Yarrowia lipolytica: one gene and its partner. The protein of the gene in region 1 interacts with the protein of each later gene in a pairwise test. Links are inferred from orthologs where the notes say so. Each region holds a gene or a part of one and is shown on either strand. Other genes may lie near its edges. The genes, in order: YALI1_E38056g and YALI1_E28170g.

What was found.
Region 2: the proteins of YALI1_E38056g (region 1) and YALI1_E28170g interact in binary tests that used the Saccharomyces cerevisiae proteins (3 or more experiments, as listed by UniProt). The link is inferred for Yarrowia lipolytica from reciprocal best matches to the Saccharomyces cerevisiae genes SPT7 and SPT8.

Annotation. Positions count from the first base shown.
Region 1 is NC_090774.1:3,797,592-3,814,361, forward strand, and holds YALI1_E38056g (uncharacterized protein), read left to right. Parts: upstream 1-7,983; coding exon 7,984-8,889; intron 8,890-8,938; coding exon 8,939-11,305; downstream 11,306-16,770. Other genes in the region: YALI1_E37982g (uncharacterized protein), read right to left, coding at 1-587; YALI1_E38020g (uncharacterized protein), read right to left, coding at 2,112-4,454; YALI1_E38034g (uncharacterized protein), read left to right, coding at 5,787-6,443; YALI1_E38050g (uncharacterized protein), read right to left, coding at 6,677-7,459; YALI1_E38107g (uncharacterized protein), read right to left, coding at 11,498-13,174; YALI1_E38113g (mitochondrial 54S ribosomal protein mL38), read left to right, coding at 13,768-14,832; YALI1_E38131g (uncharacterized protein), read right to left, coding at 15,219-15,491; YALI1_E38136g (uncharacterized protein), read left to right, coding at 16,012-16,491; YALI1_E38142g (uncharacterized protein), read left to right, coding at 16,634-16,721. UniProt on the Saccharomyces cerevisiae protein: Component of the transcription coactivator SAGA complex. SAGA acts as a general cofactor required for essentially all RNA polymerase II transcription. At the promoters, SAGA is required for transcription pre-initiation complex (PIC) recruitment.
Region 2 is NC_090774.1:2,810,304-2,825,454, forward strand, and holds YALI1_E28170g (uncharacterized protein), read left to right. Parts: upstream 1-6,692; coding exon 6,693-8,432; downstream 8,433-15,151. Other genes in the region: YALI1_E28107g (uncharacterized protein), read left to right, coding at 393-434, 702-849, 1,234-1,280; YALI1_E28130g (mitochondrial 54S ribosomal protein uL22m), read right to left, coding at 1,885-2,763; YALI1_E28150g (uncharacterized protein), read right to left, coding at 3,774-4,679; YALI1_E28156g (uncharacterized protein), read left to right, coding at 5,336-5,400, 5,455-5,959; YALI1_E28213g (uncharacterized protein), read right to left, coding at 8,676-11,024; YALI1_E28224g (uncharacterized protein), read left to right, coding at 12,105-12,151, 12,413-12,665. UniProt on the Saccharomyces cerevisiae protein: Component of the transcription coactivator SAGA complex. SAGA acts as a general cofactor required for essentially all RNA polymerase II transcription. At the promoters, SAGA is required for transcription pre-initiation complex (PIC) recruitment.

The DNA of each region.
Region 1 (16,770 bases):
TCGGCCAGAGCAAAAGCAATCGACTTTTTGGCGTCCGTGTTCACAACCCAGACCTCCGAGTTCATCAGCAGACCATGGTGAAGGTAGACAACGGGTCGGGTGATCAGTTTGGAGGACACACTTCGCTTGGAGCCTCTTTTGGGGGGCGAAGAGTAGACTTCGAGGTTTCCAGCCAGGAAGGCCGGGGGAGGGGCGGGGGTGCTGAGGACTTCGGGGTCGTCGGTGAGCAGAGCAGCAGGGTTCTTGGGCAGGATTCGGTGCACTCCTAGCAGAAATCCATCCTTGGTCTGAACCACATGTTCTTCGGCCTGGTAGCCATGGAAATCGCAGATTTCAACAAAGTCTCGGGCCTTGAGCAGAGCGTTGACGGTTTCGAGCTGCTCGGGAGACTTTCTGAGAGCAACCTCGCCGGTGCTTGGGAAGTAGACCTGCAGAATCTCGACCTTGTCGTGGCACCATTCAATGAAGAAGTTGGGGAGCAGAGCGGTGATGAAGCTCACGAGAAACTCGAGGCAGACGAGGAAGAGCGACACAAACAGCATGGGCCAATGTGACAGCTCGAGACGTCCTAGAACGGGGACGTGCATCTTTTTATAAGTCGGTGGTTTGTTGACAGAGGAGAGGGTGTGATGTGAAGTGAGTGGTTAATCTGAACTCCGATACAGTACGGGTACGTACATATGAGTAGCAATATTAAGCCTTTAATGTCCGCTGGTTCTCTTAGGGCCCGAAATAGGCAAGACCGAGCTTATCGGCGTTAGAATGTGGTGTTAGAGTTGCGATACATTTATCAGTCGAGTTTTACAACAGGAGCGAGGGGCGGGGGTTGGTGTGTGTGTTTTGAGGGGATTTCTGTGCCGATTTGATCGATTTTGTTGCCAACCTAATCTCCAGAGAATTTCACCTACTTTGGCTTACTCATCTCCTCCAAACTTCTTCTACAACCACCCCCCGTCACCCGCTGTCATGCCCGCTGTTTGCACCTCGGCTAAGTCTAAATACGAGCAGGCCTCGCTCTGGAACGTCCATCTTTGCTTCTTCGGGAGTCGTCAACAGTCCATGCGACGCATGATGAGGGCAAGGGAAGGCGATAAAAATGTGACAAGAGCCGAGGATAGTATTGCGGCGGTGATTGAGCCGATAAAACATGGGTTTCATCTCAAGTAACGAGAGTTGTCACTGGCGTGGTGTATTCTATGGTTGGCTCTTTGACATCTCCGGACATTTCCAAATAGGAGTCTCGCACAGCTAATCAGCACTTAACCTCACATGGAAAACAAACAACGGGGCTGAAGCTGTCATCAGTTTTGCTCTACGTCATCAGTCGCTGCAGCTTGAGCACCGATGCGTCTTGGCTGTAGACAGATGACTGCCGGAGGATGGAGGGATCGGAGACATATATCCGGGAAATTGGTCCATATTGTGCACATTATCAGATTGCTGCTTGCATGGTGATCTCCATCAAGTACTACAGTACAAGTACACGTGTGGTTAGGGTGTTGAAGACATGCTTTGAAGGCTCTACCCTTCACATGTCGGAGTGCAGAATAGAAACATTGCGTGCGTGAAATAACAATTGTCGTATTTGTAATAACCTGACGCCGTATAATACTATTTAGCTGGTACAATTGATACTGAATGCTCGCTCAAGGTTCTGAACTGACCTCTTATTCACTACAAGTGTTTGTATCTTCCAAATATCTCTCGTTATAGAGCTCCATACACCCCCTGTTATTTTAGCTACTGCTTGTACACGGAGATATGCGAAAAAAGTCAGATGCAGCAGAATCCAAAGACGACATACAATAGGCTTGTACTGTGAGTCCTATCCGAGTGCATATTCTGCGGTCATGGTGATTGACGGAGTCCGACAGACACGGTCACAGTGATTCGTATTGTGGCACTCGCTCTATGGCACTCGTGACTCGTGATCGCTATACGGTGTGAGGATACGTCCCGAGAAACTACAATGTAGCCCTCTGCCACGAGATCTTTTTCCGAAGTTCAGAACGATTCGTGCTGTTCACTCGCAGTTCTCACAATAATGTCAATATCTATTGGTATGCCTATATAACCCGTCCCTAGTCCCTCACAATGCCCCCATTTCCATCCTACACAACCTGAGGAGTGTCCAGGAAGTCCATCTCATTCAGAGCGTAGTCTAGCAGATAGCTCTCGTCGTACATCTCATCGACCCGGTTAAAGTGTCGCTCCGAGTAAGGAATGAGAGCGTCTGTCATGGTGGAAATCTTGGGCACCTGGCTGAGCTTGTCAACCGAGTGGTTAACCAGAATGCAGTTCATGACCCGCTGAGCCACCACCGACGATCGAGCATTCGTGTTCCAGTCTCGGACTCGCTTGATCAGAAGCTCCAGTTGCTCGACATTGAGTCCAGCAATCACATTGTCGACCTTAGTCAGACCCATGATGGAGTCCTCGTCCTGGCGATCAGCAAGCACGTCTCGGAACAGACAGAAAAGCTTGTAGGGCTGGTTCAGAGTCAGAGCAAGCAGAATAGCATTCTCCCAGTCCTTGGACCGCACGTAGTTTGCCAGCTGCTGCTCCTGCTCCACCTGAAGCTCGGCAGCAGCCTTCTTGGCAGCCTTCTCCTCGTCGGAGATATCCTTCCACACAGTAATGGTTCCCTCTCCGTCTCCAGAGACCATCTGGGCACCGTCATCGGAGCCTCGAACAGCCAGAGACCACACCTTGTCTTCATGGTTGTCCAAAGTGACAGCACATTCTCCAGAGGCATAAGTCCATACCTTGATGAGTCCGTCTCCTCCAGAGGAGACAATCTGGGAGCCCAGAGAAGTCCACACGGTTCGCAGAACCGAGTTGGTATGGCCTTCAAATGTTCGCAGGCACGAAAAGTCGTTCAGAGACCACACCTTGACGGTCTTGTCTCCCGATCCAGTTACAATCTGTTTCTCGTAGGGGTTGAACTTGATAGACCAGACGCCTCGCTTGTGTCCTCGCAGCACTCCCACAGCCTCACCCGAGTTCATGTCCCACACCTTTGCAGTTCTGTCCTGAGAAGCCGTAGCAAACAGTCTATCGTTAGGAGACACGTCCAGAGCATTGATATCCTTCTCGTGGGCCTTTCGGGTGTACTCGGCCTTCGCAGTACCGTCCTTGGCAATGTTCCACTTCTTGATGGTCAGATCTTGCGAGCCGGTAATGAGGAACTGAGGAGGTCGACCCTCAAGAGGAAGTCTAGGAAGAGCAACACCTCCCACAGAACCAGCATGACCGGTGCAGACAGCAAAGCAGGTCAGAGTGGGCACGTGCCAGATTCTAGCCTCGTGATCCTTTCCAGAGGAAGCCAGCCAGGTACCGTCAAACGATCGGTCCACGGCAATGACGTTATCTCTATGTCCAGTCAGAACGTTGGTTTCGATTCCTCCAACGGTCTGGATTCGAATGTCGGGCGCGTTGGTGACCACCGCCAGCTTGGACTCGTCTTCGCCAACATAAGTCATATCGATGATCTGATCATGGAAACCCACAATACGTCGCACCTCCTTTAGGTCGTCGTCCAGCTCCACAAAAGTCTGGTCTGACAGCACAGACACAAGCTTGTCGGTCTTATACAGAATGTCCACCACTCCCACTCGCTCGTTTTCCTTGTTGTGCACTGCAGGCTGGACCTGGGCAGCAATCAGAGCAGAAGTCTGACCGTTCCAGATCTTCACAACTCCCATCTCGCCACCAGTATAGATTCGAAGACCCTCGCCATTCAGGATACCGGCTGTCTCGATACTCTCACCCACGGGGATGGTTCGCACCAGCTTGAACTTGTTGGCGTCCCACACGTTGACGATCTTGTCTCGGCCTCCAGACACAAGAATGCCACCGTCGGAGCTCCAGGACAGACCTCGAATGACCGAGTTATGCGAATCCAGCACCTTGAGACACTTTCGGCTCACGAGATCCCAAACTCGGATCTTGCAGTCGTCCGCTCCGGACGCCAGGCGCCACACTGAGCCGCCCTGTTCGCCGAAAAACTTCAATGCAGAAACCACTCCTCCATGGCCCTTGAGATTGTGAGTCACAAATCCCCGCTCCAGATCCCACACCTTGACGGTTCCCTCGGCTCCTCCGGTCGCCACCAGACTCGATGAGCTGTCGATAGCCATGACAATCACTGGGGCGTCATGGGCCCGGGCTGATCGAACCAGTTCTCCACTGGGGATTCGGTATGTGCGCATTGTCAGAGATCGGGAGCATGTGACGAGGTATTGGGCATCGGGACTTATTTCCAGAGTCGTCAGAATCTCACTATCGCCCTCGATTCGGCAGATTTCCTCTCCAGTTTTGATGTTGGTCACCACCACGTCCTCTCCAAAAGAGGTGGCCAGGGTGTACCCGTCGTCGGCGAGAGAGGTCTTGCCACCGGTGTAGAAAGGCTCCACGGATACGGCTTCGAACGCAGTCTTTTCCGTCGTTTCCATCTTGTCTTTTGGTAGTATAGCAGATGTGTTTCGTGCAGTTGGATTTCAGCACACCAATTTTTTCCAATCTTGCATGTTGCAAACGTTAATTAATTTTTCCAGAACCATGTATGTAAGAGGAGGAAGTACGAGTAGCCTCTCTTAGTGGCATTGATCTGGAGTCAGACCAAAATGACAGCCTTGGAGCAGTCACTTTGAGCAGTTATTGGATTATTAAGACTCCCAGTTCCAATTTGTGACCATTTTTGATGGTCCTTCCACTTTTTTTTTTTTTTTTTCTGCATATACATTACATATACCATACTTCACCTAAGCTAACTAATACCACCTAAATTACTTACCCTCACCACCCCACCTCAACCCAGATCATAATAGAAACTGAACGATTGATTTACTGATCCAATGGCTCGTGTATTGCCGGCAGTATACCTTTTGTGACTGTATCGTCAAACTCTTGGCTTGCATTCTCCATCTACTGTATTTGTACTTATACAAGTATCACTTTTCCTTGTATTCAGTGCATATGCCCCCTATTTGGCTGTCATACGAGCTACAAAACACACATTCCCCCATTTATTACGAGTACAAGTACAAGTACGATACGAAGACACAACTATCACATAGAACGCCGTCTACAAATACGCCATTCAAGATAACTCCAGATCTTGTCGGTCACGTGGTCACGATCCGTCCTCATGTACAGTATGTACGATACCGCCAGTACTTGGCACACTGTTTGCAAATCTTCCTGCTACCCACCCGAGAGCTTCTTCAGAACACGTCACGTGACACGGAGTTTCCAACCTCCCCCCCACCCGCCGAGCCGTTGCACTGTATTACGCAAATCTCCCACACTGCACGCACAATATCGTGCAGTAACGTTCGACACGAAAGAAACAGGCATGTATGATTTTTCAAACGAGGAATACGAAGGTGGAACTTTAAGCGAAACGCCGGTGTGAAAAAACATGCGCTAACTATGAAGGCAATGGAGACAACTGGGAGAGACCAGACAAGGGGTTAAGACGTGTTTTTCTTTTGGAAGTGGAGTGAATGGAGTTGGTCACGTGTACACACACACACACACACACATACACAATCCACACAACCCAAGTCTGAATTCGTGGTGGGATCGAGTTGCAACAAAAGGTGGTGCGGATGCACGGACGGTCACCTCCACACGCCATGTCATGTCATCCCATCTCGCTCAGGTCGTATGTCTAAGGTTCTTCATGCAAGTGATTTGGGCAAAGCCTATTGTGTTTGTATATATAGACGCGACTGGGGGGCACGCATTACAACTAGCTATCACCGACAGTACGAACCGCCACAATGAAATTCGTCGGTCTGATTTCCCTGCTGCTGGTGGGTCTGTACATGGTCACCAACTGGCTCTTTATCAACGTGCTCCCACACAGATACATCTTCGACAAGGATGAGCTCATGACCATGGTCAACCAGACTCTGGAGCGAAACCCCGACGGAAACTCGACCGCCATTCTGACCGATCTGGGCGCCTCTCTGCACGACCGATATGGCAAGTTCATCAACGAGCTCAACTTTGACGAGTGGGTCTTCAACAACGCCGGAGGAGCCATGGGATCCATGTTTGTGCTCCATGCCTCTGTCACCGAGTACCTCATCTTCTTTGGCACTGCTGTCGGCACCGAGGGCCACACCGGAGTGCATTACGCCGATGACCACTTCATGATGCTCACCAAGTACCAGATGGCCCACACTGCCGGCGAGCTGGAGCCTGAGGTGTACTACCCCGGCTCTTCTCACCACCTCAAGCGAGGTGTTGCTAAGCAGTACCACATGCCCGGCGGTGCCTGGGCTCTTGAGCTTGCTCAGGGATGGATCCCCGCCATGCTTCCCTTCGGCTTCCTCGACACTCTGTCCTCTACCATGGACATCGAGACTCTGTGGAAGACCGTCAAGATCTCGGCCGTTAACATGGTTCGAAACGCTCTTTGGGGTAAGATCTAAGGAGGGCATCGAGACAAAAGGACAACCACAAGAGCGGGTAAAAGCATGGAATGTTGGAATGTTCAAACAAAAGAACTACCTTCTATGGCCCGTTCCATCAACAGTCCATAGATACGTACATAAGTTATAGTTAATTATTCTTACAGTTTTTCAGTGATGAGTGGATAGGTGCGGTTCGTTAGTATGACGTACTTGTACTCGTAGTCAAGCATGAGTGAGTAGTCCATAGGCTGTCAGTCATCTTCGTAGCTCCCCTCTAACACCTGAGCCCGAGCAAAACCCCTGGAGATCATACTCTTTACATCATCATGCAAAGTAACATGATCTGCCATGTCAAACAGATGTCGGTAATACTGCTGAGACAAGGGAAGATGGTACGAGACCAACGGACCAGGAAGCTTCAGATGATCAAACGGATCAGAAGAAGTGCAGGGCATAGAGGCATCTTCGAAGCGAGCAGAATTGTGGGGAGGCGGTTTGAACAGCAGAATCGAAACCAATCTTCTTCCAAACGACCTTTTCGCTCGCAAGTTGCGTGAATGGGTCGCAATCAGCCCGTTTATCGTTTCAATGTGGGATGCAAGATGCTCCATAAGTAGCTCCTTTTCATATGTAGGTCTCAGCACCTTAGTGGTATATTCACTCTGGAAATCCCGGTATCCACCCATGACGATCAGACCCTTGGTGACCTGTCTGATGAACGGCTCTTCATGTTCGAAATGCGTGTACATGGATCTTCTGTTTGTGTGTGAGTAGCTGGAGGGTCGTTCCGAATGATCCATGGGGGAATGCCGTTTGAAGCTAGCTCTCCGGGCAGAAACAGGAGCTCTGGATGAAGTCATGGGGTCGAGGATTGATTGGTAGTCTCTGTAGTTATCGGTAGGTCCAGGAACGTGTCTTGTACCAGTGAAAATATCAAGATCACTGCTTATAGCAATGTCCAAGTCTGGGGATCTGCGAATAGTCGAAGAATTGTTTGATTGCTGAGAAACGTTGAATTGTCGATTGTGGGCCATTGCCGGATTAATAAAGACGCTGCTCACCAAGAGTCGTCACACCTCCTTATATATATCAAGCTGACACTCATATTGTACTTGCCTTGTCCGTGTATTGGGAAGGTCACATTATGTCTGCGGAATTGTCTTCGGTGCCTGACTCGTAATTAAGTGAAAGACACCAATGAGTAATAACTGTACAGTACAATTACGACGGACGAGCACACACAATCGTTCATATCATTGTTTCATGTCAGCTACACTTCTCCTCAGTAGCTCTTACAACTTACGAGTTAGTGTCGTTTCCCCCAAACTAACTCATAATCTGTCGTCATCCCCTCCGACGCCAAATACCCTCCCAACAGCATACTAACTTCTTGCCCTCACGTCCATCACCCAGATCCATCTCTCCCCTCCGGTGCGCGAGTTTAAGGTTGGCACTCCACTTATACTGCATCTCCAACACCACATCTCACCATCACATTCTCCGATTGGGAAAAAAGCCGATCAGCACCGTCTCGGCCTTTTAGACATTGAACGACAACATGACGTCGCTGAACGTGTGGGCCTCCGGGCGATCACGTGATCTGCTTGCCGTCGCCCGCGAAATTGAAGCCAAGGATCTCTGGCGCGGCTTTCTCACCATCCAGGAACACCAGGTCGTGCAAAAAGTGCTGGAGAACGACGCCATGTGGGACAACCTGGTCGAGGGCAAACTGTCGATATTTGTCGACAATCCGTTGCCGGATCCCCCGCTGGGATTCAGGCAGGAACAGGAAAACGCCGCCAACAACAATCTGGATGGAGCACGTCCCGAAACCCCGACTCCAAGTACACCCGTGGTGAGCACATCGTCCTCCTCAACGCATCTGCATCTGAAGCATCTGCAGATGAATCAGCCGTCGCCGACTCCGTCGAATGAAGGCTTTCAGAAGACCGTGTCGCTGGACTGTGTCGCGTTGGCCTTCAAGGTGCGGCACATGATTTTCGACAAGTCTGTGCCGCTGCTATACCCCAACATCAAGGGAGGGGACCTGGAGGTGGACATTGAAGACATCCTGGCAGAACGCAAAAAGGAAGAGACTCCTGCCCAGATCAAGGCTGCTCCTGTACGAGAGGAGGAAGATGACTACGATTTTGATGACGAAGATGAGGGTCCCAAAACAGACGGAAACAACAACAAGGACCAGCATACGGACGGTAGCAGTGTAGCACTAGTGGACTCGGTATCGGTCGAAGACCGACCAGCGACCTCCGACGATATCCAAAAACGAGACTCGGCTCTGTTGGCCCGGATATGGCAACGGTACCATCTGTTTGAAAATGACAGCGAGGCCATGGACTCGTATCTGGCCGAGGAGGGAAGCCAGGAGTCGGAGAACACAGGGGAAACAAACACACAGGAGGAGCCGACCAAGGCGAATTTTGGAGCCGCAAATCTGTCTCTAAAGGTGAGCATCTTCATTACTAACGACCTTCCTATTATTTATACTAACACAGAACCTCTTGGCCACAATTGAGTCCAAGCGAGACAAGTTGTCTCTCACAGACACCCAGCTGCGTAAGCTGATTCTGGACGTGCGCAAAAACCGATCCAAGTGGGCCAACGAAGAACGTGTAGGCCAGGAGGATCTTTATGAAGCTGCAGAGAAGGTGGTTCTCGAGCTACGAGGCTACACAGAGCACTCAACTGCATTTCTCAACAAGGTCAACAAGCGGGACGCGCCCAACTACTTCAGTGTCATCAAGGAGCCCATGGATCTCAACACGGTCATGAAGAAGCTCAAGAACCTCCAATACGACAGCAAGAAGGACTTTGTCAACGACCTAATGCTCATCTGGCAAAACTGCTTGACCTACAACACTAATCCCAAGCACTTTTTGCGAGCCCATGCTATTGCCATGCAGAAGAAGACGTTGACGCTCATTCCTCTCATCCCCGACATCACCATCAAGACACGGGCCGAGGCAGACGCAGAGGAGGCCGCGCAGGCTCAGGAGGCCAAGGAAGAGGAGGAAAAAGAGCAGGGAGGTGCCAAGGCTCGAACAGGAATGTCTATTGGCAAAACTGTTGGGAAGGGCCAGAAAGGAGGAAAAGGCCAGAAGGGAGGCCGAAAGCGGAAGATTGAGGAGGTGGATGAGGATGCTAAAGACGCCGACGACTCTGACATCAAGGTTGAAGATGTGTCTATGGACGTCGATGTTGATGGTAACAACAAGACTTCGGATGATATTAAGCCGGATACCAACAACAACGATATCAAGACCGAGACCAAGGAAGCCACCGAAGAGCCCGAGTCGGCGAACGTGTCTGCCTTGGTCCCCGCTGGCCATACTGGTGCCAAGGAACTGACTGCTTCTGCTGAGAATAATGATTATGGGGTTGGTGGTGATTCCGATGACGATTCGGACAATGATCTCGAGGAGCAGTTCTGGACTGAGTACACTGGCCGCAAACGGACGCTCATTTCCGTGCAGCGGTCGCGGCTGTTTAAGGACAACAAGATACAGGCAGACGCAGACGCTACTGTCATTTCCAAATCAAAGGGGTTCCGTGACTTCCTTTCAGCCGAAGCAGCAGTGCGAGGAGTCGGTCCCCACATGGAGTTTGAGGAATTCCAGGAGGACTTGCTGGAGGAGGCAGCAGAGGTGAATGATAGTACACAGCCCAAGGCTGATGCTCCATTAAACATTCCCCGACGGCCGTTTTTACTTGAGTACGACCCCCAGGCCGGCCTTCCTGAGCTCCCCTGGGCCATTTCATGCGACAACCCCGACGAAGGAATTGACGACACTTGGAGCCATGTTGATATTGAGTGCCTCAAGAACACTCCTTCTCGATACGTTGCCCCTGCGAAGGGTCTAGTCAGCAAGATTGACCACAACTTGAACGAGATGCAAAAGATTCGAAAGATTTGCTCCAAAATTTCTATCATCCGACAAATGCAGCAGCAGTATCTGCATTCGTCGCAGATAAAGGCCTACAATCCGCCTAAGATCACCGATTTTGATGTGGATATCGAGTCTCGTCTTCCTAATAGAGATGAGTACGATAAAGAGGTGTGTGAGGCTTCTCTGAAACGAGCGGCTTCTCGAATTGCTATGCACTCTGGTTTTGAGTCGACCGAGTCGTTTGCCATCAACGCACTCACAGAGATTGCGGGCGACTTTCTATCCAACCTGGGACGTTCAATGGTGGCCTACACTCAGCATTTCAAGAACACAAACACCAGCAAGGAGACGATTCTGAAGGAGACTCTGGAGGAATCGGGCGCGGGGTCTATCGAGGGGCTGTCTGCGTACATCCGAGATGACGTTGAGCGTCACGGCCATAAGTTGGTGGATCTCAAGAACAACCTGGGGTCTTTCTTGGGCGATCTGCTGCGACCTGGAGGTGGTCAGGGAGAGATGACAGACCAGCAGTTCAAGGACAACTCCGAGCAATTTGTTAATGGAGACTTTTCCGAGGCGATTGGCGACGATTTCTTTGGTTTCAAGGAACTCGGTCTCGATAAGGAGCTCGGTCTTCTTACTTCCACCGTTCCTCTGCATCTTCTGCAGGGCAGACTCAACGGAGCTTTCAATAGAGACAATGTGGAAAGTGTGGGTACTGTGGAGGAGCTGGAGGCCCCCGAATACGATCCTATTGACCGAGAATCTGCTGACTCTCAGATTGGTCTGATTCGCCCCTTCCTTCATGGCAAGCTTGAAGTTGCCGACGTCATTCCTGAGGGCGAACAGGTGCCTGTCAAGCAGCGAAATGTGCGATCCAAGCTGCCGCCTAGTGGAAAGATCCCTGGTCCCAAGAAGCGGCCCGCCAGCAAAATGTTCTGGCGAAAGCCCAGTGATAACGAAGTGTTTGCCTAGGAAGCAAACATGTATAATTGTCTGGCGTATGTAATATGTCAGCGTGTAAATTATGTATTGATAGATTATTGTGATAGGAGTAAGGAGTAGGAGCGTAGCGCGTGTTTTAAATGTGGTATAAACGAGGACTCTGCTATAGCCGGCCAATTGTATTTCTTATCATGCATGAATTAGTATATGAGTATTTGAACTCTAGTCGCTCAGACCATAGTCTTCGTAATCGTCATCGTCATCTTCTTTATCTGCGAGATCCTTCATGGCAGACTTGACGCCCTCAAAGTCGGCAACCTCGAAACCCTCAATCTTGAACTCGCCATCCTCAAAGTACATGGTGACAATCAGATCTTCATCTTCGTCCTCCTCGGCCTTATCTGGCATCTGTTTAGATTCTGCCTCAGCTGTGGAGAGTGTTTGAGTCCGGAAGAAGGTCTGTGTTGAAGTGACAGTGTCAGTTCCATCATCTTCAGCTGAGTCCACAGCTTTTTCCTCCACCGAGGCCTCCACTTGCTTTTTGGCCTCTTCCCTCTTAGTCGAGGCAGCTTCCTTCTTCTTGGCCAGCTTCTTGGACTGCTTGGCCTCCTTGTTAAGCTGCTTCATAACTTCATCAGTAGCTCTGGCAAGGACATCCTCGATCCCAGCGTCATCTAACATAGTAAGACCCTGGATCTCCAGGTTTGACATGTCGCCCTGTTCCTGCCACCATGCATACTTCTCTTCGAGAGTCACATCATCATCGTTAATGCTGAGCAGCAGCTGCTGACGAGTGATCATGAGACGCACCTCAAAGTGGCGGTTGATGGGAGCAGGAACAAACATGGATCTGGTCTGGATGATGAAAGGAGCATCATGAGAAGGAGTGGCAATGCCAAGCTCCTTGAACAGTGTCTGTCTATTGACGCAGTCGCCGAGCCAGACTCCAATGTAGTTGAGAGCTCGAGCTTTGGTGAATCTCCATGCAACCTCAATCTCGTCAATCTTGTCCTTGTTGACATTGGATCCGACAAACTGGTGGGCACGAGCCGAGACAGCCTCCTGCTCCTCCTTCACGTGAGCAACGCCGTCAAACATGCCGTCAATGGTCTCAAACTCGGGGGCCTCAGACTCGACGCTGTAGCACATGATGGGCAAAGACTCATCTGGAGGAGGCTGAAACCTCATGTCTTTACAGAGGCGCGGGGTGCCGACCTGCATGACGTAGTTGCACGTTCGCTTCTCCTTGATCCACAGTATATGGTCATGCTGGACGTTTTTGTCACATACAAACTGAACCTCGATTTCTCGGTTGGCGCCGGTCAGAGGACAATGGGTTCCCGAACGGAGTCTATGGGCCAGAAAGGGGATTCCTCCGGCACTGGTGACCGTGTTGGTCGTATCGTCCTTCTCGAAGCTACCGAGCACGAACGTGGGCGAATCGTCTGCCTGAGGAGGAGGATAGATTCGAGGGAAGTAATTGTCTCCATGTCTTCGATACTGAACGACTCCCGAGCCGTAACAGAAACGATACGAGAAGAATCCCTGTTCGTAGAAGAGACAGTCACCCAGAAGAGGCAACATGAGCTCCAAAGCTCTGTCTCGGGCCTCTGTTGGCGACAGTTCTCCCTCCTCTCGTGATTTTGAGCTCTTCGTGGTCGTGACTTCCGGAATACCGCAGATGTGGTTTGTGCCGTTGAATTGCATCATCTCGTACCCCAGGGGATGGCCATATACCGGATCTCGATGCGGTAGCAGGCCGTTCTGGACATCTGCTTGTCGCAATGGTCGGTTGTGGAACTGTACTGTGAATTGTGGGTCGGCAAAGAGATCGTCTCCTATGTTGAAGGTTGCTGCGAGCGACGAGCTTGCTATCAATGCCAGGGACTTTAACAACATGGCATGTGGCGAACTTGTGAGCTGGTGGTGGTGATTTCAATGTTAGTTACAGCTGTACTTGAACAGCACACGTCATGTCAGTTCAGCATGAATTAAGCGCAGTGGGAGATGCTGTTAGGCATTCAATAAGTGTCATAGGAGAATTTTTAATAAATATAATAAAATCACAGTAAATCGTTAGTCTGAACGAATTATTATATTTATATTTTCGTTTTTTACTCTTAAATCACTATTACAGCAATAAGCCGCCTCGTACACTCACCCCATCTCCATTACTGTATGTACGCTCATGTACCGAAATTGAGTTCATTCTAAGTATATGATTGGCTTAGTAAGCTTAACATGTTCAAGAAAAAATATGGAAGGTACAAGTACTTATATAGAGAAAACTACTTGGCCAAGGACACACTTTTGAATAATGACACAGAAAAAATCTATTGCTTTGAAACGACCTCAGCTGATCTGTCATTATTAGTACTTATAGCACCACCTGAATCACTGTCACTCCATCCCTACACTCTCTCCTCCCAATGTGCATGTTTTAACTCTGAAAAATTCCACAGGTCAATATCACATCTTCACACACAGCAGCCATGATTAGATCGACTGTTCGGCTGGCGCCACGAGGAGCAAGATTTATCACCAACAACAGTGGCTCTGCCGAGACTCTGCGGGTGGCCGACGAGAAGCTGGCCCAGATTCTCACCGGCGGCTCCACGTCCGGAGCACACACCTCCATCAAGGATCTGAACAAGCGAGCTCTGTACAAGAGTCCCCCTGGTCTGGATGCAATCTTCCCCGCTGCTCTGAAGATTGTCGAGGAGAAGAGCGCTGCCATCAAGAAGCAGGCCGAGGAGATTGCTAAGGAGTTCGAGGCTTCTGGAGACAAGGCTCTCAAGGACCAGTACATCAAGCTCATGGGCAAGGCCGAGGTCCACAACCCCCAGGTGATGATGAACCACGTGAACGGCAATGTCGATATGAATCACCCCGTCTACCGACATCTTGCCGAGGCCGACTACAAGAAGTACGAGCAGATTCTGCTGGTCGAGAGTCTAGAGACCATGCATGTCATTCCCGACACCATGCCCGTGATTGACGCCAAGGCTCGAGTTCGAGTCAACTTCCCCGGCAACGAGAAGGGCAAGTGGATCACTCCCGGAACACTGCAATCCACCGAGCTCACCTCCGAGCTGCCCATCGTCGAGATCCAGGAATTCGAGGACATCCCCAAGGACGCCAAGTACACAGTCCTGCTGGTTGATCCCGACTACCCCGTCCCTGAGACCGAGTCCTTTGGTACCAAGGTCCACTGGGCCGTGTCCAACGTGCCCATTTCCGTCGATCAGCCTCTTGTGAAGCCCGAGCTCGGAGACACTCTGGTCAAGTATGTGCCCTCCACCCCCGAGAAGAACTCTGGAGACCACCGAATGTCTCTGTGGGTGTTCCGACAGGACGGTGACGTCAAGGACTCTCTTTCGCATTCCGACTTCTTCGACATCCGGGGCTTTGCCGACAAGCATAAGCTGACCTCTGTGGGCGCTTTCTTCTGGCGAAACCGGTTCGACATGTTTGCCGAGAGCCTGCGGGAGAAGTTTGGCCTTGGAAGCGGCCGAGTGTTTGGAATGTCCAGAACTGGCGAGGACGTTCCCCGATAAGTGTATATAGTCAGAATCAGAACAAGCACCTCGTGCTTGTATTCGTAATGTGAAGAGTTACATCAACATGTCTATATTGTAAGATAACCATGGAAAGATCAGATCTAAAGGGTGGCTTAAATCAATTGAACATGGAGAACTTTTTTCGTATCTGGTATTCAAGGCTCCATCTACCATTTGTACTTGTAGTACGTCATACTGTGTCCAACTACACTCAACTACAACCCACATTCAAGTCACATACATAAATCAAATTGAAGGGAGCTGCGCAAGGCGTGCCACCAAAGAGGGAAAAGAACCGCTGGTAAGCCACTTCGCCTCATAACCTGTCCAAATGGTCAATTAATTACATGCTCGTCGAGCTTTTCGATGCATAAATAATACGCTTAGGCCTTCTCGGGGAAAGCGTGGTTGAGGTAGGCTTCAATGTCGAACTTGTCGTCAGAGATATCGGTAACAACACCGGTGGAGGCGACGGGGGCGGGGTGGAGTCGGGCCCACTCGGCCTTGGCCTGCTCAATGAGCTTCTCCTGCTTCTTGAACTTGGCATCAGCCACCTTCTTCTCAGCCTGGGAGTAGAGGGTTCGGTTGTGAACGAAGCCGTAGACGACACCGGCACCGAGGGCGGACCATCGCAGAACGTTGAGAGTGGCAGACATCTTTTCGGTTGTGTAATGTATGAGGTATTGGACCTTCAGTATGTGTGGTGGTGGTGTGTTCCGACTGCAGAGGTAAAATATGACAATGCGCCGTTGGCCAATGGGAGCACAAATATAAGTAGGGTAACTAACTCTATTGATCCTCGTGTTGTTATCAAACAAGGAGGCTGGTTAAGTAGTTAGTGGGGGAATGGTGACCAAAGATGAACTCCGATGGTGGTTTTGTTGCCAATTCGTTTTTCCAACAATTTCAGAGTTTTTTTTCCTCCCTATATCTGCTTCATGGCCTCCACCCCAGCTGGCCTTCATTAATCTCCTGTGTACATGCGAGGTTCGAACTGACTCCTTCTCTCAAATGCCTCTTTAGTTCACACAGTGTTCAAATCTTTAAGTGCACATTTTTTTTCGGTGACAGCTTTCCACTGAGTGAAAGTCTAATCCAAAATGAACGTGTCCCAACATGCATGCTGTCAATGCTACACAATCGACACTTTGATATCTCGACAGCTCCTATACCAACATGCTTCTAATCGCCCTGCTGCCCTCAATTGTTGCCGCCACATCCATTCTGGCCCGGCCTGCCGACGGATCAGCCGTCGTGACTCTCGGAACCATTGATCTCGACACCCCCTCCTTCACATCCACCTCGGACTTTGCCGGCGAGGCTTGCATCGGCCTGAACGTCGCAGGCGACTTTGTGTGCCACGTTCTGGCGCAGATCGAGGCCGACAAGGGCAAGGAGTTCACAATCGAGGCCAAGGACGGCGTCATCACCAAAATCAACTTCAAAAAGGGCCTTCCTGCCGCCGAAGACACGGTCACTATTACCACAGCCCAGGCAGCTCCCGAAGCAGCCATCAAGGAGCCCGTGCAGCTGGTCAACAACGAGATTCTCAAGGACGAGCCCGAAAAGACCTTCATTCAGAAGTACTGGATGTATATTGTGCCCATTCTGCTGCTGCTGTTGCTGGGCGGAGGTGCTCCCGAGGAGGGAAAGTAAACCCATGAGCCAAACGTATGACACACCGTTGTTGTTTCCTAGCTATCAGAGGTGTCCCATGGCTTGTCAATACCAGAGCCTACGTACATCTTCGTTTTGATACGCCATAACTAGAGACATCTCTCGCCAACCTCGTCCTTTAATGCTACTGGAGAGGTACCGTCACTCTTTCTGTCAAAGGAAAGCCACTCTTGCATCCCCATGCCATAAACTGAGTACTAGTACTACAAGTGTAGCTCATGGCAACTAATATAGACATTATGATTATCTATGAACGTG
Region 2 (15,151 bases), about 990 kb from region 1:
TCTTGAAACTTACCCCACATGTGGACATGTGACTTGGACGTCATGTGATGTTGAGGCGGTAGGGAGTTTGGTAGGTGTTTATTTTATTTATTTGTTTATATTTATATTTTTATTTGTTTTATCTTATTTTACTATTTTTCTTGTTTTTTATTTTTATTGAGGACTTTTCTCTGTCTCCCTGCTCATTAATTCGCTTCGTATTTCCCCATTTATTCCTCCTATTTAACCATTCAATTCCCGTAAATTCACCTGAATTTTTCCTCCCAGCTTACTAAGCAGATCCAGCCCACGGGCCAATCACGACGAGGGTAACTAAAAGCCAAAACCACCACTGTGCATTTGTCGCCCAAAATCCAATATCAGGGAAACGAGACACAAACGGACACTCGACAATGATCAACGCTAACCCCGGCTTCTGGAACGGCCCCTTTCGAGTGAGTATCGCGCAGCGGGTTTCGAGAGCACAAAACGCCGCGGCCTGGCCGTAAACACACCCAGAAATGGCTATGTCAATCGACACAAGGTGACCCCAACACCAAAGAGACGTGGTGGGTGGAACGAATGACCGTATGAATGGAACGACCATATGAATGGAATGAACAGCTGATTCACTCTCGGGTCTTTCGTTTGTGCCACGTCACCGAGATGTCTGCAGACTATGTAGAGACTGACTCCGTCTGAGCCCCACTAACACAACCCAGTACCTTCGATGGTCTGCTCATAACCGACCCCATCTCTTCTTCGCCTTCGCCATTGGAATCGCCGGCCCTGTCGCCGCGCTCACACTGACTCCTCTACGAAGAAAGTACCTTTACCCCGATCACAGCCCCCTTCCCCAATCATATCCTCGTGAGTATTATTAAGAGTTGTTGCGTTGCAATGGACGTCGGTGGTTGACAAAACTGCCAGTCTGTCTGATGGTCTGTGATAGTCTGTGATTGGTCTGTGATGTTTGTGATTGTCTGTGATTTGTCTTGTGATTGTCTGTGGATTGTCTGTGGATTGTCTGTGATTGTCTGTGATTTTCTGTGATTGTTCTGTGATTGGTCTGTCTGGTAACTGGACGAGCTGATCCCAAGCCACCATGACTACCTCAATCAACCGAATCAGACTGCAGTCGACTAGATCAACTGACCAGACTACTGAGCTTCTACGGTCTGAGTCGCAGGCCCTGCGGTCATCGGCTCATACCGTCAGCCTCCACTGCACCCCATTTTTACTATACTAACCGAGTCCCCCAGCGTGCTCGAGAGCAGCTCACTGGCTTCGATGACGAGTAAATAGCATGAATTCATTAGACTTATAAGTTGCACAGACCGAGGGACGGCACTTGGAGGAAGATGGTCGGTACAATTGGACTGTAGCCCAACCTGCCGCAACACTTCATGATGGAGTACCAACGACCACCCGACAAGTTGGAGTCGTTCGGAAGGTGTATCTTGGAACAGTACATATATACTCGTACTTCTAGATGTTAATAGTCAGAACTCCAGATCACACTGTTCCATTCATATAAATGTCCTGACAAGTAGGTGCAAGTGCAGACGTATGACCAACACCTCTTCTCCGAGATTATGTTCGACAGATGATTAGTGTATTCTACTGTCTAAGCACAGCCCTTCGTCATTTACATATCAACTGGTACATACAGTACTCGTTCCTCTGAGCTCTTAGATCATCTTCACCTGTTTCATGGAAGCGATCTCGTCACCTGATATGTTCCAGCTGCTACCCCGTTGCTGCTACTTCTGTTACTCATTCTTCGGTGGCTTACTCGTTAAGAACTAACAACTCGTTTCGCACGCTATTCGCTCATCGGTTACTCATTTTGTTCATTTCGTTCGAGCAACGCGCTATGCTCGTCACTCGCCCTAGCTATATACATTACCATCGGTAGTCAGACTTGAGGTACCCATCTCCCACCTTTCGGGTCTCGTGCTGGAACACGGGCTTCTTGGCCAGGCGCTTGTACTCCTTGTCACGGGCCTCTCGCTGCTGGGTCACGGGGGTTCGCAGAATAGCCCGGATGTGGATGTACTCGGCGTGTTTCATGCCGGCTCGTCCTCGGCCCTTCGGGTCCACGAACCGGAACTTTCGGGGGTCCGAGCCGACCCAGATCTCGTCAATGTACAGAGTCTCGGGGTCAATGTTCATGTCCTTGGCGGCGCTGACTCCTCGCTGGAGCAGCTCAGCAACGGGTCGGCCCATTCGCTTGGCAGAAAACTGGCACTGAGTGATGGCCTCACGCACGTTCATCTTACGCAGCATTCGCAGCAGCAGCTGGGCCTTCTTCCAGGTGCCGTCGATTCGGTACGACTTGCAGTAGACAGAGGGCTCGAACGCCTTGATCTCGTTGGGCGACAGCACCATCTGGTACTCCCGGCCGTCGACAGACACCTTTTTGGTCTTGTCGTAGCCCTTGTGCTGGCTCTGGTAGGCGTCCCACAGCCGCTGCTTGAGGGCGGTGCCGTACTTTGCAATACCCACCTCCGCCTCGCCCTTTTGCTCGGCAATGTACTCCTGCAGCTTGGTGTCGTTTTTGAACGATGGCAGCTTGCCCTTGGTCTCGTCGGCGTTCTGCTCGACCTCCTTGGATCTCTTGTTTGCCGTCGCCTTGTCCAGATCCTGCTTGATGGACTCCTTGTTTTCTGTCATGCTGCCGAACCAGTCGTTGGATCGCGCGGCGGTAGAGTGGAACGGCCGCAGGGCAACCAGCCGGGAGGCCGGCGCCACGCTTTTGCCAAACATCTTCTTCCACAGCATGGTTGTGTGTGCTGTTATACGGTCAGTGAGGGCTCGTATGGTGATGCGTCAACTGGAGATAGATTTTTCAGGGTACGGGTTAACAGAGAGTCAACCTAAACGGGAGAAACTGCAACAACCGTGAGACAAGAGTATACTGTCGGAGCCGAATCGGAGTTAGGAGCGATATAAGTGGTTGTAGGAAGGAATCTTGTCCTCGTTTACACATAAGTCGGTCGAACAACACCAATAATCACCTCATTCTTCAATCCCCATCCTTTCTTCAACCCATGCAGTAGTCTGGAGAGTGGTGTCGGGTCCCGTGGGTTCGATTCCAGGTTGTGTTCATTCTTGTATGCACTTTTAGAATTGTTAATATGTTGATGAAGAGCACGGTTTTTGGTTATCCTGGGGTCTACGTATGTATTAATTCTGTCTTTTGAATATCTCTACTATCATTACTTGTTTCAGTAGACACCTCCTCTCTATATATACTCGGATATATTGACATGATTTAGTATACACAGCCAACAGAGTGGTTATTATTGGTACTGGATTAGTAAGCAATGTAAGATCACGTGAGAAGACACAACCGAAACAGCTGTCTCAGATTCTTCGCTCTTGACACTTGTATCTCTCTCATGGTGTCTGGAAGCCCGCAACCGAGACATATAGCATGGTCTTTTTTAGTTGACTTTTAGTTGAAAGAAGAAGTTGTGATGGGTTTCTGTCTGGTGCTCCAGTTGCTTTCGTAGAGAAAAAAGCGTATAAAACTGTAGAGCAGTGTCACACAGTCTCCGATATATACTATTGACATGATATTTCTGTTACAAACTCGCCCATTCGACACAGTTATGTGATTTCAAGCTGATACTTTACTTGAATGTTTAGTTGACAAGTGTGTCTGGCGTGGGTCCGAATACAACGACTACAGTGCTCTTTGAGATTTGCAGTGTCCACTCTCTCTACCCTCTCATGTCATAATCATTAAATATGTAAATGCAGTGTATCACGATTTTCTATCCTCACGGTCACGCCATGTCTCTCAGTTCCACCTCGCCCGAACGCAACAGTCGATGGCCCTCATCGCTGTCGTCTTCTTCTCCCATCACTTCCACGTCCACGGGCTTCACGTACTTCCTCTTGACCAGAGGACGACATCCCTTGTATTTCACCTGCTGGTAGAGCAGAACGAGATCCCAGAAAAAGCGGAACCAGCATGCCCAAAAGAGACCCGAGGGACGCACGGCCCGCACGACTTTGTTTCGGTTTCTCTCCTTGGTGGGCTTGGCCTTTTTGGCGCCCAGAACGTCGAGAATCCCGAAAAACGCGCCCGCCAGATCCAGCACAATGAGCAAAAACGACGAGCCCACACAGCTCTGCACCGTCCAGTTGCACGACACCTGCGGCACGTAACGGGCGTAGACGCTGAAGTCTCCGATGATTCCAAGCCAGTCCACCACGTCAATGAACTTGATACCCAGATAGCCGACTCCAGGAGGCGAGGGCACCTTTGCAAAGGGATGGGACTTGACCGCCATCAGCAGGAACACAAGCACGCCGAAAAAAAGACCCATAATCACCTTGCATTCCAGAGACCACGACTGCGCATTGGTCTGGGTGTGTCTGTATGAATACCACGCCTGCACAGCACACACGCCCCACACCAATGACTCGTTCAAGTCAATTAGGGCAATCACCCCGGACGCGCTGGGCATATCAAACGCTAACGGGTATCTCTGCACAAACTGCCGATGGACCAGATCGCTGTTGATGTATGTGAGGGTGAAGACGAAATGACACACCGCCCCCACGAACGCCCAGAGTCCGTAGTCGAGCGAAAAGCCAGCCACCGACGACCGTTTGTTGTTGAGAACGGCCTGCGGATACGGCGTAAGCAGCCGCAACGCCTGGTGCAAATATATCCATCCCGTCATAGCTGGGTCGATATGCCGTAATTATATATGAGATGAGGTATATATTGAGACCGCGTATGCATGCTTGGTGCAGTATGCATAAACCTTAATATGATACATTATATAGCGGGGTGAGTTGGATATTGAGGTTGGCTGATATTGAGGTTTTGTCGATTGGGGAAAGGAGATTGGCGAATTTGGTAGACAGAAGAGATATTGTGATACATGTTCACACACTCTGCGGTTCATCCAGTACTTTGTAAGCGTAATATAGATTCGACTGTAACTTGCCCATTATTCTCACAGGCGACTAAAGAATAAAAGAAATGGATTCCTCAGATACAGAGGATCATTTTGGTACCAGGAACGGGTGGTTTAGATGGCGTTCATGTGCTGTTATGTGTTACTTTGACTTGTTATGTTGATGTTCTACTTAGAGAGAGTGGGAGTGCGGCAAGTGCGTCGCGGCAAGGGGTGTGTTTCCCCTGTTTTTTTTTTCCCCCTCTTTTTTCTTCTTCTTTCTACTCATCGCTTTACCACCCTCCTTTGGCGCATCTAACACTCCAACCATAGTCCTTCGACTCAATCGCCCAATTTGATCTCTTCACTTGTCACCAACCTCTCCTGTGCAGTTGTCATGTGCTCCACCACAACTCCTCTTCCTGGCGACATGACAAATGGGGCTACTCACGATCATCAAGAAACAAAAGCTCAAGGATAAGGAGATCCGTGTGCTCATGCTGTGAGTGAGAGGAAGCGACGTGTCTGGGTGTGAGAGGGAACAGTACTAACACAGTGGTCTGGACAACTCGGGCAAGACGACGATAGTCAAGAAGATTCTCAACGAGGACGTGAACGAGGTGTCTCCGACGCTGGGCTTCAACATCCGCACGGTGACAAGGGGCCAGTACAAGCTCAACATCTGGGACATTGGCGGCCAAAAGACTCTGCGACCTTTCTGGAGAAACTACTTTGAGAAGACGGACTTCATGATCTGGGTGGTAGACGCCAGTGCCACCGACCGACTCCACGATTGCCGCAAAGAGCTGCAAGCGATTCTCAACGAGGACCGACTGGTTGGAGCCGGAGTGCTCATCTGGATCAACAAGCTGGATCTGGTGGACCCAGATCAGCGGGACAAGACCGTTGAACGCATCAGCGGCCATCTGGACCTCGACCAGATCCCCGAGGGCCACAACACCACCATAATGGGCTGCAGTGCGTACACGGGGTACAATTTGGACGCAGGCATGGATCTGGTGGTGAAAGAGGTGTCTGAACGGTTGTTTTTGTTTGATTAGGAACGAGGAGCGAGGAGCGAGGAGCGTCTACAGTCAAGACTGGACTAGGAGAAAGTCGAAAACGTCGAAAAGTTGCATCTAAACGACGAAAAGAGGGTCTTTAAGTCATCAGTGCACGGCAGAAGAACCAAAGTGCTTGAACTGGAGGAGAATGTGGGTTGAATGGAGTGTGTACTACCTACAGTACTTACAATACTTGGTAACTGAGTTGTATACCCAGCTGTCAGGAATATGAAACCAGGTGGTTTTCGAACCCGATAATTTTCATAGATGGATAGAATAGATCTCAAGTACTGAATTATTTGTACGAGTACTGACATTTTGTACTTGTTCTTCTACTCGTACTTACTCAGTTCTTTTTTATTCTTTTTTTATTTTTTATATATATTTTTTATATTAATTTTTACACTCACCTTTCCTTCTCTTTTAACTAATGGTTCTCTAGTTTAGTTGACTAATATTAGATCTTAGTTAAGTGGGTTTCGATACATACTGCCGTTCTCATGCTCGTTTTAAAAGTAGTTCCTTTTTCGTAAGACTGATGAAATTACTGAAGAAATGACAATACTCTCACCTTTGTGTTTGTGTCACTCTCTGTGGCCCCATTGTGAATATAAATGCCCCCTCGTGTCCCCCTCTGTCCCGCTGTGCACTCCCGTTTAACTTTGGCGGTTGCAACATGCGGAGCTAAGTACGATACTTCCAGGACACTGCCAGTTTGCACGACACGCAAATGTCCAAAGACGACTTTCTCGACGACAAGGCGCTGAACCAGCTGGAGGAGGAGGACGAGGAGGAGGACGACCAGCAGCATGAGAACGAGGACGATTTGTTTGAAGACGCGCTGGAAAACAACATGGAGATGGACGACACGGAGGATGTGGTGATGGGCGATGGAGACGAGGAGGCAGAAGACGAAGAGGTCGAGGAAGAGGAGGACGAGGAGGTGGTGACGAGGTCCAAGTCAAACGGCCACATGGCGGCGTCGACGTCGAACGGATCGCACATTGTCTTTGATGACAGTGGCTCCAGCGACATTCCCGAACATGTGCTCAAGTACACCGGCCGCAGAAACATTCCGCTCTGTACCAACACAGACTCGTGCGAGGGCTACGACATTGTGCCATACGTGGCGGCGATCCACAGCTGTCCCGTGCATGCGATAGATCTGTCGTGGGAGCTAAAGTGGATGTTTACCGGTGGCCAGGACGGCTTTGTGCGCAAGTACGATTTTTTTGCGTCCGTCAACGGCAAGCTGCCCCTGACGGTAGCCCAACGGCATCCGTTTGTGGACTGTGTGACCAAGGCTGGCGTTCTGACGTCGTACTGGGAAAACGAACAGCCCGTTTATGAAACAGACATCAAGCCTAAGGATGGGCTCTACGAGCCCAAGCTGTCGTGCGTGTACTCGCTGGCGGCGCATTCGCGGTGTCTGTGGCTGCTTTCGGGTTTGCAGAGTGGAGGAATCACGCTGATGAGCGTACGACACAACGAGGGCCAGATCCAGGCGTACCTCGAGAAACATACGTCTACGGTATCGGTGCTGGTTCTCAACCAGTGGGAGAACAGACTCTTGTCTGGATCGTGGGACAAGACCGTCAACGAGTGGGATTTGGACACGGGCAATGTGGTTCGGACGTTTGACGGCATTTCTGGCCAGGTCAGCACCGTGCAGTATCAGCCAGTCGGAGGCGCAATAGTGTCTCGAAATCTGGGTCTAGAGGGGCTGGATAGTGACAGAACGGCCCGGGGCAAAGAGATTCTCGAGGGAGACGAGGAGGAAGACGACGACAAAAGCATGGGGTCGTTGTTCGGGTCGGACGAGGAGGAGGAGGGCGAGTCCGAGGTGAAAAAGGAGGAGGTGGACGTGGCAGCAGATAAGGAGGCCAGCGAAAGTGTCAAGCCAGGTGATGGTGATGGCAGCGAAGAGCCGACCCGCAACACTACCTCGGAGTCCATATTTCTCACGTCGGCCATTGATGGAACAGTAGACATTTGGGATAGACGGCAGCAGCAGCGAATCACACGAATTGCGGTGCCTCAAGGCACCCCGCCGTGGTGTATGAGTGCATGCTGGTCGACCGACGGAGACCGCATCTACGTTGGTCGACGAAACAGCACGGTGGAGGAGTTTTCGCTGCGAGGCAATGTGCACGAGCCATCTAAGGTGTTCAAGTTCCCGTCCGTGTCAGGTGCCGTGAGCACCGTGGCTGCCATGCCCAATAACCGACACGTGTTGTGCGGCTCTCACGACAATGTTCGGCTGTACGACGTGCAGAGCTCCAAGCAGCAGGCTGTGCCGTTCTGGATTGTGCCGGGACATCAGGGCGGTATTCTGTCGTCCATCAAGGTCGATCCTAGTTGTCGATACATGGTCACCTCCAGTGGAGACCGAGGCTGGAGTGGAACCACCAGTACAGATGTTGCCTTGGTGTACGAGATTGATCCCATTGTCGGCACCAAGAATCTGTGAGGTGGGTGGAGACTGGGTTGGATAGATGGAGACTGGGTTGGATTGCCCATGACTGATCCTTCAAAAGCCCTTTGTAACAGTATTAATGTATTATATGAATGGTCTTGCACGACCATACGGGTACACACCACACGGGCCTAACCCGAGAAGTACACATCTTGGTAATAATCATAATGTATTGTCGTCATACTATTCCTTTTTCCTCCTTCCTATCACATGCATATATACAGAAAAATGTCGGTGCTATCTGGCCGAGCGGATCGGTTGGTTGTCCGTCTCCGTCTCCGTCTCCGGGTCCCGGTCCAGTCCGACGTGGGATGCGATTTCGTCGTTGGATTCCGTCTGTAGCAGCTCGAGCTCTGCTGTGTCGTCTTTGGCGTATCCGGCGGCCTTGGCCTCCTTTTTGGCCTCCTGGGCGTCGAGGAACTTGTCCACGGCGACGCGCAGCTTTTGGGGCACATTCCAGCCATGCTCGTCGGCTATCGGCAGCAGTAGCGCCACGTGCTCCAGGTACGAGTAGACGTCGTTGTTGTCGACGGCAATGTTCCAGAAGACGCGGGCCTTTTCCAGCCGTCCGGCGCGAATGTGGGCGTCCAGAGGGATGAAAACCACCTTGTTGGTGGGCGTGTTGATGGTCATGGCCAGTCGGAGTGCCTCTTCGGCCAGATCGAACCGCCCGCTGTAACACGACGCCGTCACCAGCGTGTTGAACACCTCGGGGGCAAACATGTTCACCTTGGCCACGTCGACAAAGTCTCTGACAAGCCACAGACATTGCGAAATGTCGCCGGTGCAGCGCAGAACCGACGAGACGAAGGAAGACATGAGCGCAAACCCCATGTCGCTGAGCAGCCACTTCCACCGCGCCGGCATCCGGTCTCCCTTACTCAGCTGAACCGCTACATGGTCTCGGTACTTTTCGTACAGATCGCGCACCAGCTCCACCTGGTCGGCCTGGTCCAGTATTGCGCGGTAAAGGATATGCAACGAGGCCACGTCGGACTTGTAGACGCGGAACCCGGCCTTTCGGGGCTCCAGTTGCGGCAGCTCGCCCAGCGCAACGTCCAGCGGAATGGAGTTGTGGGCGCTGCCCCGCAGAACAAAGGCAAAGATGCCCAGCTCCATGAGCGAATGCGGCGTGTACAGCTGACAGTAGACCGCCAGCGTCTCCTTGAGGTCCTTGCTCTTGGCCACCGCCTCAAAGTAGTCTGTGGCAATCTCGGTGGGGATGTAGCTTTGGGCCGCCACGTCCATGGTGTGGGTGATGGCCTCCTCGTAGTAGCCACGCTCCTTGTAGCCGTGGATCAACAGCCCGTAGCATTGCAGGTCCGGAGCACAGCCCTTTTCCTTCATTGTTTGGAACACGGACACTCCGTCTCGCATGCCTTCAAACTTGACTGCGCGGTAGAGCAGCATGCGGAAGGCGCCCATGCGCGTTTTCTCATCCAGCAACCGGTCGGCAAACTTGGACGAGTTCATGACCTCGATGGACGCCTCGGCATCGCCTCGGTTGCACATTAGATACATGAGCGAGAAGATGCTTTCGTCCTGGTACCACCAGCGTTGCGATTGCTGCAGATGGTAGTCGACGAGGTCCTGGCGTGCCGAGGGCGACACCTTTGACACTTGTAGAGCGAGTTTGGAGAAGGTTCGGCCGTCGCAGGGGTACTGTCTGTCTCTGAGGATCTGCAGAAACACATGGAGCCAGTTTGGAGGCAGTTGGTTTTCGATCCGGCTCGAAAACGGCACGTTTGGAGGCAGACCCGTCTCGTGGTTGTATTTGGAAAAGAGCGAGCACAGGTGCGCCAGCTCCTGGTCCGAGGGCTTGGGCGACGGACACACGTGGTGCGAGGCGTAGCGGAAAAATCGGTCCAGGTTCAGCTGGTAGCCCCATGCGTTGCCAATCGGCAGGTCGTAGACGTACTGGGTCTGGGCGAAAATGCTGTAGAGATCAATCACCAGTTGCGGGTGCGCCTTTGTGTTTCTGAGCGAGCTCACGATGTAGCCCATGAGTGCTGGGGCCAGGGTAGTCTTGCCCAGAATCCGCCAGATCCGCCGCGTCATGAGATACTTGCAGTCCTGGGGAGGCGCCCCAAGCATGTCGCCGTTCATGTCCACGTGCAATGCGCTTTCGATGGCTCCAAACGCCTGGCCCAGCAGCGCGTGATCTGCATTGAGCGAGTCTTCCGTCTGGGGAGCACAGTCCACATACTTGATGGGCATGGCCTTGCGGGCAGCCAAACGCACGCCCAGCGCCATGAGATTCACCATTTTGCGCCGCTGCTGGCCCGCAGAAAGCCCCTCCTGGTTCATAGCGGCACTTTTCAGCCGGTTCACCGTCTCTCGTCCATACCGCACATCGTTGCCAGCCTTGCGAGTCCGCCCTCCATCCAAAAACGACCACTGGCCCTTATACGCCACAAACCGCTTGTGGTCATCCTGCCACAGACTGCTCGGACAGTCGAGATGGTCGTAGAGGCTCAGGGAGCTCCGGGTGTCACCTCCGCTCCATAACGGATCGTCGTCAGGCAGCGGAGGCTTGTACCCCAGCTTCGGAAGGTACGTTGCCCTTCCTTTCTTCACCCTAAGCATGGTCCGTAAAAAGCTCGTGCGAATTCTCCAGCCGTAGGCAAACCGCAGCTGTCGAGGTAGGTTGTCTTTTCCAGCAGATCTCAGCCGGGCCTGAATGATCCCACATATCGCACCAAAGTTTTCACCTCCATTGGGAATCCCTAACCCTGGAGGTATTCTCGGGGGAAAGCGGGGGCCGAAATGAGGGCTATATTGTGGGGGGCCGAGAAGGGGAAAAATACAGTCATTTTTACCACCTACGATTGTGTCGACTCTGAGCAAAAAAATCACGCTTGTTGTTTCTGGGGCGGAAAAAATAATCTGCCCGGTACCAGGGTCGAACTGGTGATCTTCAGATTATGAGACTAACGCTCTAACCAACTGAGCCAACCAGGCGGGATTACAAGTTTAAAGCGGCGTTGGGAGTATAAATCGGGGAAAATGTGATCCAAAACCCGCGACGATTTGGTCAATAACGGGGTGCCATTGGGGGGTAAATGGATATTACGGGGAAGATAAGTGAGCGTAAGATTCATATGAATCAAAATTCTGAACCGTAGAGTGATTTCCGGTGAAGTTGGATTGATTGTCGCACAGGGAGAGGAGCAACGAGGATTAACACAATGTTTGTGTGAAAAAAATGAATGTGCTCAGGTCACGTGGTTATAAAGCGGACGTCACGTGACTATAACGCCCCATTACTACGTGGGTCGATTCTATCTAGAGTCATCAGCCTCATTGATTGTCTTTCTTGAGATTTTCCTATTCCAGATACCGTACAAGTGCCTATTAAAAAGTGCCTGTTGAAAAGTACAAGTACCTGTTTTGTGCATGAGTTATGAAAGACCTGTTTGAGCCTCATGGAATGATGAGAGGCTCATTTGAGTGTTAAATCTCATATTCTTGCGGACTGGAAGTTCCCAAGAACGACGCCAATGAACTTGTACTACCCAAAGGACGTTTCATGGGACGTAATGTGACACAATTTCTTGAAGAAAACCCACCAGAAAGTCCACTAGTTGATTTAGTTGTTTCTCCAGCAAGAAATTGGGGCAATTAGTCGGAATATCTGTCGGCGAAACGCTCTACTTGCGAGATACAATGTCAATTGCCCTGGTCCTCTACAGGGTGCCCGTTTCTACCTCATGGTGAGATATTACCCGATGTGGATACCATTGGGAGACAATGGTGAATCAAAAAGTGCCTGTTTGGGAAACTTCGGGGTCCTCAAACCAATTGAATGACCTGATGAAGCGGTCGCAGAGCCCCATGAACCTCTCAAGTCCGGGATGAGGTTCAGACCCGAGTCTCATTCGGGGTATAAGTAGTTCAGGGGAAGTGCCGAATCATCATCAGTCCAGCAGCAGATTCAGCAGCAGATTTATCAACTCACCATTACCAACTAACAGTTACCAATTCACCATGAAACTCTCTACCATCACCGTCTCTCTCCTTGCCTGTCTGGCAGCGGCTGCTCCTGTCGACTCCCTCAACAAACGAGACAATGAACAAGTGTGCACCGGCGATCGGGAACCCTGGGGATGCACCGAGGTCAACGGGGTTCCAGGCATTTGGCAGTCCTACGGCTCCGGCGACAACATTCGCTGGTACAACATTTACAAGCCCTGGCTTCCTTATGGCGTCCGATGGGCCAACCTGTGAATCTTTTGACCACTAGATATGTTGAACAATTCCATGAGTAAAGTATGAGAACAGTACATACTATAATTTTACTCAGCCCTCGTAGATATGGTGTGCTAGCTGGATACGAGTAGTTGAGAAGAGTAAGTGATCTTTTCGTACCAGGGGTGCAGAATTACTGGATAGACGTGAAGACTGGTCTGACAAGAACTTGTATCATGGCCACCAGAGACGGGTAATGCGCGACAGTAAAGTAAAAGCGTAGTTCATCTCGTTTGTAGAAGATATATGTGCATTCATCAGATCCTCTGGCGGCGGTGATGAGCTTCACCTGATTGACCACGGGGACCATATGGGCCGAAGGGTTGGGATCCAATGGACTTGATCTTGCTAGACTTCAGGAGAATCGCGTACGACCCGTCTCTTGCAAAGGGGTTGATCCGATTCCAATTCTCCTCTACAACCAGGTCTCAGGGAATAATGAAACACAGTTGGAGATGTAGGATAGAGCAGGAACTGTGGATATGTAGGCAGTGTGGAATGAAACACACAACGGAAAGTGGCTCCCAGTTAAGTACCATCTGCTTCCAGGTCTACCAGTCCCCAGGACAATCTCCAAATATTGTAGACGATTGTCTCGCAGACGGTAAATGGGAGCTGCTGCTGGCCAGTGGATGAGTGCATGTTCACGTAGTCGAGTGCTCGAAGGACAGATCCAGCTCTCGGTCGCGGTGTATGAAAAAGATCTTAGTTATGACAGAAGTGTCTTCATTGACACCTTTTCCATGTCTGCTTAGTGCCCAGCCCAATCACGTCCTCGATTCCGGCAATGTACGAGCACCAGCAGTCGCTCAACAGCTGTCAGACCAAGCCTGGATCGTAGCCTCTCCGATCACCCACTTCTGTCGAATTAGCGTGCTCCACCCGATATTACTGTAATATCCTCGGCAATGCCCTCGATGGTATCGTCGGTGGATACGTCTTGGCAGACTATCCAGAACTGGAATGCCGTTTTGGTTAGTCCAGACCCGCCAAGGAGCTATCTCGAACTATGGCATTTATCATAACCTGGGTTTATAGTCCGAAAGCACAGAATTGAGAGGTACTGATAAATGCCCAGTTGCGACAACATCGGCGTCGAAAAGGCGACAACGAGCTCCAGATGATGGGGACCATGAATAACCCAGATGGAAAAGAGACCGTGAACATCTCACCAGCATCAAACCTCCGAAGCGAGTCTCGTAGATGGATTCAACCACTCCTCTCATACATCAACACAAGGAATGATAACGATATGACGCTAATTTCAGTGAGAATGTTTCTTTCTCTGCGCAACAACGCCAAGATCGGTGTTTGGCCCAAGGTCGGTGTTTGATCGGATTTTTTTTCTCTCACACGACTAGGTCTCGTGCGCGACAATAAAATTCAGCTGTCAACGTCAACGTCAACGTCAACAAGGTCACGCTACTGCAATGCACTCGTCAACCAGCAGCTCGCCTTGGCATAGTGTGATGTCGCAGGGAGAGGGGATAGTAGCCCGGTCCGTCTGTGATAGTTTGCCCAGTCCGTGTTCTGACTTAGCCACACGAACCCAGTAGCTGTGCTACCATGACTAGCGGTTGGCGTGTGGATGGCAAGACAGCAGGGCCAGCACCATGTCGATTGTGAAGGGTCAGTCTCAGAGTATGAGGTATGTCGTCGACACATATTATGACATGGTTTGAGATGGTGTACCAATCAAGTACGAGTACCAGAATTGATGCAGTACTTGTGCAGTACACCACAGATAGTCGCCCAATGCCGCCCTCAACGTAGATCCACTATCAACGACAATGAGACAAAGACCCGAGACCAAGTCCAAAGGGTGAAGTGGATCTGTGCGTGGCTGTCAGTTCTTTGGGGGTGTTTGGGGTGTCTTTTAACTGTCTTGATTGTCTTTTGGTTGTCTTTTGGTTGTCTTTTGATCGTCTTTTGATCGTCGTCTATCTTACGAGTGCTATACTTTCTCGGTTGGCTCTGACCAAGAGACAGAGGTTCCAACCGCGAGGTTTGTCTGTGTAGCACATGAACGTTTGCGGTTGTCGCGGTGGTTGCCCAAATATCGTCTGATTACGTGAGCACCGTGAACACCTCGCAGTCTGGTGGACTCAGCTGAATACGGATGTCTCAGACAGACCAATTAGATGATGACGTTGTCCATCAGTCAGAGCACAACGTCAGCGCAACGTCAGCTCAATTAATCACTGCGAGCCCAACCCCGCAGGAACGTCAGTCGACCTGTGCATTGATTCGGTGTCAGATGGCTTTATCGCCGCTTTAGTGAGATGCGACAAGGGGGGGGGTTGGAGTGGAGTCTGTGAGGGAGTCGGCAGTGCCTTAGTTGGTCTCTTCTGTGTCTGTGTCCGTCAGCCCTGTTAATGTCTCTCCGGGTCTCCCTTCCACAGCTTCACCACTCACAATCCCACTCACCACTCAACCACTCACCACTCACCACTCACCACTCACCA